2 linked regions of the Caenorhabditis elegans genome follow. The protein of the gene in region 1 interacts with the protein of each later gene in a pairwise test. Each region holds a gene or a part of one and is shown on either strand. Other genes may lie near its edges.

The links. Proteins that work in one complex are often made in the same cells at the same time.
Region 2: the proteins of ztf-2 (region 1) and lin-39 interact in a two-hybrid assay, tested with the Caenorhabditis elegans proteins (one large-scale study listed by BioGRID).

The regions. Positions count from the first base shown.
Region 1 is NC_003279.8:7,289,343-7,293,098, reverse strand, and holds ztf-2 (Zinc finger protein ztf-2), read right to left. Parts: upstream 1,828-3,756; coding exon 1,422-1,827; intron 1,258-1,421; coding exon 928-1,257; intron 875-927; coding exon 528-874; 3' UTR 147-527; downstream 1-146. UniProt on the Caenorhabditis elegans protein: Transcription factor. Represses gene expression, probably via binding to DNA consensus sequence 5'-[AT][CT]TTCC[AC][AG]-3' in promoter regions. May play a role in pharynx morphogenesis.
Region 2 is NC_003281.10:7,534,657-7,538,412, forward strand, and holds the start of lin-39 (Homeobox protein lin-39), read right to left. Parts: upstream 1,977-3,756; 5' UTR 1,934-1,976; intron 45-1,933; coding exon 1-44. UniProt on the Caenorhabditis elegans protein: Transcription factor.

The sequences.
Region 1 (3,756 bases):
TTACAAAAGGTGGGGAGCAGGTGGCAAAAAGGTGGGCGGAAGGTGAGAAGACCTCAAAAGGTGGGAGAAAGGAGGCACTAAATGCCGAGCAAATACAAATCAATAATATCGCTTAAAATATGAGTTTATGCAGTGGTGATAATACTTTTTTAAACAAGCGTATATTTCCAAATATTCGTAACGATATAAATAAGAACAATCCCGAAAAAAAGAGAAATCGGTGAAAAATGTGATAGAGAAATATGGAGGGATGTGTGATAGAAACATGACTCGTATAGTAGAAACAGATAAGGAAAATAAAATTAGCAAAGAAAATATGAATTCACCAGGAAGCTGAGAGTTGAGACGAGATTCGTATGTGAGTAGATACCTAAGATTTGGGGTTTTTTTGGGGTTTGTGTGCGTGATTGGCTAAGTAGAACAGAAAATATATTGGTTCGAGTATATGAACCTGAGATATTCAAGTAAAGAAGTGATAAATTGTTTTAATTATAAATTTTGAGATTATGGATTCAAGATCTTAAGAATTACATCTCAACGTCAACCATCTCATCTTGTTGAGAAGGTGTAAGTATCGTAGTTGGGATGATTTGTGGAAAAGATGTTGGAATAGTTGGACTATTCAACAAGGAAGATTGTAGGAGAGATGCCAAGTATAATGACATTAATGGATTTGGCTGAAGGCTCAGCAGAGCTGATTGAATGTCTGGAAGGAAAGATGGAGTGACTGGAAGTGTTGGTGACAACAGAAGAGGTGATGATCCAAGTTGAGGAGTTGGTAGGGATGATGTAATAATCGATGCTTCTTCTTCAGGATCTGTCTGAATTCCGCTGTCTGATGAGGATTCGCTTCTGCACGGGGATAATGGAGATGCTGAAAAAAGGAATTTAAATCATGAAATTAAACTATTTAAAATTATGGTTTACCTTTCTCATAAGTTGGCATAACGTTGTAAATCATATCAACATGGGAGCATGGACCATTGGAATGAGCAAGTGCTCCTTGGACATCTTCAAATTTAGCGCCACATCGACAAACACATGGGGAGGTGTTGTGAAGATGGCTTACATGACTGTTCAATACAGATACTCTTTCATCTTCAAATGAGCACAATTGGCAACGATAGAACACTGTTCTCTTTTCAGAAATTATGCATCGATCAGAGTCTGAAGAACACGAAGAATCCATTGAACTGTTGGTGGCATCGAAGACTTTCGAACGGCTGTATTTGGAGACAACACGGATTCCATGAGTTTCTGAAATTATTGAGGTTGGAGAATACATTTTCAGGTATAGCAGAAGCTAATTGATTACATTTCAAAAATTGTTCTAAGCTGCCAAACTTCAAATCTGACAGAATTACAAAAGGTTTAAAGCGAATTCAAATACCTAAAGTAATAGAAAAGTAATATGAACTCACTTGCAACATGTCGAATAAGGTCAGCCTTCCACTTGCTGGTTCTGGAGCAATAACGACACTTGAATGGTCTTTCACTGGTATGAACTCTCTTATGACGAATCATCTCAGACACCCATTTTCCTTGGTAACCACAGGTAGAGCAGGTGCGTGTAGATACATCAGGATCCAATTCCATTTTTTTCATTTCAATCTCATCATCTGGTCCTTCAATTGCTTCTTGTTCACTTAGATATCTCTTTTCAAATGGTTGATCGTCGGCTTTGCGAGCAACAAGAGCATCAAGAGTGTTTGATGGATTGGCTACTTCACCACGTCGTCTTTTACGACGATGTTCTTTTTCAGGTGAGGAAAGAGTTGAGAGTAGAGTGGATACGTCAAGGGCAGTGAGCAACGATTCACAATTCATCTTAAATTTACGAAATTTAAAGAATGCAATTAAAAAGTGGAAATGTTATAGTAAGTTTAGAAATGTTATTTTTTCAGTTGTTAAGTTTGCAGATTCTAATATTGAACCGAGATCAAAAATAAGAAAGAGTAGACCACGAATGAGAAAAAGTAATGAAAAGAAGGTGTGGGAAAATTTGGAGAAAGAAAAAGTATCAATGTACTTGGAACTGGAGGAACATTCTGATATCTATTTTGTCTAGAAAGACGAGAGAATTGGAGATAAGAAGTGGAAAAAGTGAAAGTTGCTCCAAGATAAGGGAAGGGTCACCAGGAAGCAAGCGCCGATTCGGGAAGGAATGGATATGGCAAAATGCGGATGGGGCGCGCGGTACCTTTTCGCTCCTACCACAGTATGTTGACACAAGTTTTGTTGGGGGAAAAAGAGGAGGAGGCCGAAGGGTGGGAGGTCGTCGCATCAGCGAACTGTTCACTTCCGGGGCTGACTGACTTTCACAGCAACAGCAGTAGGAGGAAGAGGATACGTTTACTTTTTACAAAATATCAGCAACACACAACTCTTTCTTGCGCTCGGCCACAAGGTTTTGGTTGGACAAACAGTTCGGTCAGTGAACTCGTTTTGAGCCAAAGCGTACGTGAAGTTGGAGCATGACGTGGCCATATTGAGATCGGATGACCGTTGATGGGAGGAGAAAGAGTTTTGGGAAAGTTATTTGGTATTGGCTCACCTGCTCCCAGTTAGGCATAGTGCTGCAGAGGTACAGGCGCAAAGGCTACTGTAGGTGGATATAGGGGACGGCTAGAAAAATAGAAAAGGGACCGTGGAGATTTTCAAACCCAACTAGAGTATTCCGAGATATCTAGTGCTTACTGTAAGTGAATGCAAAAAAGAAGAGTATGATGTGTATTATGAAGGTTAATTATTGAGAGCGATCATCTTTCGAAAAAAAGTGCACTTTCCGAGCATGAAATTGCCAACTCGGATTTCTAGAGAATTTTTGAAATCCAGGGCAACAAGAACCATTCCAGAAAAGAACGTATTTGAAAAGACTGCAATAGTAATTCTAGACGTCTTGTGGGCTTTTACCAGGCACAGGTAAGTTAGCCCTAAAATGAATATGAACTTACAAAAGTAGCTAGGTGCTTTTTTCTTTTCAAATAAGTGTAAAAACTACGGTAGGCAGTTACTCAAAATATGACGTAGAGTTTAACATAAACCTTACAAATATCAACTCGGGTTTCTAGAGTACTTCAAGTATTTTTGAAATCTAGGGTAACTAGAACCAAAACATATTTGAACATAATTTCAAAGATGACCTTCTTCAACGTCTTCAATGCCTTCTTGTTCCTAATCGTCATCGTCTTCTTCTCTTTTTCAATTCAGGCACATGTTTGCTCAAGCACAGTTTGCGTAACCACCACCATCGCCGCGGCGTCTCCTGCAGCCATTCGGTTTTTTCTCGCGCCCTCAACTTCTTCGAGGAAATCCAAATAGGAACAACCTGGTACAGAATGGTCGGAAAGGACCTCAAGGCGGCCCCGCACAGTTCAAACACATGACAAGCAGTTTTTAGGAGTAAAATGGAGGAAGTAAAGGTAATAGAAGAAGCATCGGTTATAGTAACCTAGATAAAGTAAAAGTGCATTTGTGCTCATTCGCTAGTTTCTGCCAAAAAGAGCAGCACTGTCAGCTCCTCGGTTCCAGGAGGTACCAGTTGAAGCTCTTATCACTTACACTTTTGCGCCGAAAACGTGTGGGCTGGAGGAATCACTTGCTGCTGAGTGTGCAAGTTTCACGAATGGCAACAAAAGGGCAATTGATGCAAATACTTTTTTTTTCCAGATTTTCAGACAAATTGCCTCTCGTTCAAAAATTGAACAATTAAGGGAGATGGTAGTCGTTTTTTCATCAATTTTTTCATTTATTTCA
Region 2 (3,756 bases), on another chromosome or scaffold:
GCTCTCGGTGCATCTGTGGATGACGGTGATGTTGATGTGGTCATCTGGAGTGAAAACGAGTGAAAGTGATTGATAAGAATTGATTGAAAAGAGATGAAAAGATGAGGGGAGGGAGGGGAAACGAGGTGATATAATAAATGAGGACGAGAGGCGCGTCGGGGCGGTTGAACATTTGTTAAAAATGTGACGTCTCCCTCTTTCTCCTCTTTTCTTCCATTGCAAAAGAGACAGAATACCGGGCGCCATCCTTCCCCGATCCCGCCCATTTCTCCTATTGGACGAAGGGTGGAGTCTCAGAAAGCGGAAGGGATGAGGGAATAGAATAAGAGGACGATAGAGATGAATGCAGTAGTTAAAAAAAGAGATCAAATTTTTTTCATTGAAGTAGATCATTCAGATATTCCTAAAGTCTACATATCTTCAAAAACCGAATAACTAGTAGAATAGGTATTTAAATTTGAACAATTGTAGTGAGAGCAAGAAAACTAACAATTTGTGCTGCTAGTCTAGAATTCAGAGATACGTGTACAATCGCAATCAATGACCGGATCAATATCTCCCAAGAGCCCAAATTTTCAACACAAAAGTTAAATACGATGATTCAGTTCTTAAAATTTTGAAGAACTTTCAGCAACCATCAATTTCTTTTACAGGTGATCAGAGCTTTAAAATTTATTAAAATTCCTGGGCACATATAATTGAAACCAATAAATTTCAGAACACGAATTAGCAATAATTACCGTTTGATAGATTTTAAATTTTAATTTAAGAACCTTGTTTTTTTTAATTACTGCATTCATCAAAAGGAATTAGATCAACCTATCAACTACTTGTACCTAATCCTTAGGAAATCATTAAAACTAGGAAAACAACAAAAGCTTAAGAACGGAAACAGAACAAAAAGAGAAGAAAAGTAAAGAGTTGGAAATGGAGAGAGAAAAGATGATGGTGATAAATTGAGGAGCAATCTGCGAGAGACGAATTGTTTTTGTGGGTGTGCTCAAGTGGGTGGTCATGGTTTAAGACCCGCGGGTTTTACCTTATAAGATTGGATAATTGCTCTAAATAGCTTTATATAAACTAGTAAGCAATCTATGAGGTCAAGAAGAAGTATGGACTAGAAGTCTTTATGTGTTTTCTCTGTAGGCCTAAGCTCTGAAATGTTACCTAACACTATTCCACACATTCTCCATGTCTTGAATATTTATGTGACTACTGATTACAAAATGAAATTTCAGAAATATTGAGGCTGTGGGCAATCCTCGAAATTTGACGAACTCAGCAATTTCGGTAGATTTGTCGCACACACCTGACAATGAAGCTTTTAAGTTGGATAATTTAAAGTTGTGATAATAGCTTTTTTAAAGTAAGATTACATTTTGTTTTCTTCTATGATTCACAAATTAAACGAGGGTGAGATTCAATTTATTTAAATGATCGGCAGAATAACGGGAACACGGTAAAAAGGCGCCTTCGCAACGCCTCATAAAGTGCAACATCTAATCTGGGCTCATTTCTTCCAGATATGTTTTCAATTTTTCAATGGTATATTCTCCAATAATGCAACATAAAATGTTTTTTCGGAACGCAGGTAATTTGAATAAATTCCTACAACAAAAAAAAAACAGCAGAAGCCAAAGCCGAGTATCTAAAAATGTTTCAAATACTGAAATTTAGTCGATAACTTTGCGAAAATATAAGAGGGTTCCGAAATAAACTAGATTTTAAACGTTTTCTGCCACAAAGGTGGAAAATTGATATTTGAAGTACATAACTTGCAAAATTTAAAGACTACGTTTTAAATAGTAGAGAATTTTCCTATAACTTTTTCAGGTGACCTCTAGGTTCAACTTATTTAAAGTTAAGTTCCAGTTTCATTTAGAACTTTGAGAAGCTTTGTGCCAGGAGTGGATTTAAAAAAAGAGAGATTTACCTTAATTCTAGAAGGTCGTAAAAAAATGTTGCCAAAATTCTATTGTTGGTATTGCCATCGGAATTTCCTCTATCGCCCTCCCACTTCATGTCTTCTAATCCGGGCGGCACGCACAAGAAGACGCAGACGTACTGATACACGTGAAGGGTGGAGCATGCTTCTTCTCCAATCTCCCCCACTGTCGGCATAGATCAAAGAGGTTCGTGGAGCCGAGAGCACATCTCTTGCTCTCGCCTTTTCAATTCATCACTGACAGCGCTGGATGGACATGGGGTGAGAACGACAGGTACCGTAAGCTTTTGGGCTCCAAGAGTAGAAGAGTTGAGCAGAATGAATTTTCGCTTTTAAGTTGCCGCTTTTAGGAACAAAATCTTGACCAACTTTTTCCCATTGGACAAGTTGTCAAGAGTCAGTCGAAATGTGCTCAATTTTATGAACTCTCTGATTTTATAGATATGGAATTGTTACATGAAAATTGGAAAAATGGCAAAAAGGGAGAGTATCTCGGCTTTGGGCTAAAACTTGAGCAGAAATTGAGCAAGGTTTCGACAACATAGTCTAAGACAAGTATTGTCAAAGCTCTTACCAACTTTTGCCAACATCTGATAGTCCGCTTTTTGAGCCAAATGCCTGGTATGCACAAAAAGTTCAAATGACCAAAAGACGAATTTCTGTGAAATTTTAAAACGGCGTTATGGGAATTTTGAAAAACGTTGAAGTTTTTCTAGGTCATTGATCAGATTTTCTAAAAATTTAAGCTTCTAGCTATTTCTAGCTAAATTAAATGTTATCAATACTTGGTCGACACCAAACACTATTTTTTGGAATTGTCAAGATACCTAAATATAAAAGTCTACAACTGAAGCATACGCTTAATATGTTTTCAAGATTTTGCAAGGCATCTGAAATTGCTTCGAGATTTCCAGCAGTGCCTCACCTTGTTCTTAAAAGTAAAAGTTCCCGAAACTTGAGGTTTCAGAAATGCCAACTGCAACTGAATTGATTCCAACGCCTCTTACAAAATGAAAGAATAAAGTTCTAGAAGTTCCCTACTGTAAACATGCAAACAGAGATATTTAAACTATTTATAAAACTTAAAATGTGTTACTTTTGTTAACTTTGAAAGTCTTTTTTAATTTTTTGATTAAAATAAAATTTTCAAATTAACAGTACATAGAGAATTACAAATTCTCAGAGCCACAACACATGATAATGTACTATAAAAGGAAATAACCCAAACACATCACATTTTTTATTTCATTATCAGTTTTCTCAATCTATAAATGATCCAATATCCTCACACCTCTCACAGTATAGATAAGGAGATAAGAATTGCATAACACTGTGGTAATAAATAAAAAAAAAAAGTGAGTAAATGATTAGTAAGTGATTATGCAATTGACTCAAGTCTATTTCCTGTCTCTTTTACAGTGATTTATGAGTGTCAGGAAGCATCAAGAAGTGTGGAATGAATGGCATCCAATTACTCATTTGTAGGTACACGAATCAAGAAAAAATAGGTTGAAGAAGTGTAGGGATCTTCTCTCTTTTACAAATTGATGTTCGACAATTCCTCATTTTGATTTTTTTTGGTCTTCCAATCTAGTGCAAACAGAAACGAGATAGAATGAGTTACAGTAGGAAGTTCATTAATCAAATGACGAGAAAAAGAGGGAAAAGTAATGAATACATTGAAGCATAAGACAAAAAAGAAATGAAAGGAAAGGAAATTGAACCACCGGGGGATGCCTGGTGAAAAATGAGAAAAGAGGTAGCGAGTTTGGAAAATTGGAGTTATGAACTATATCTGAAAAAGTCAAACG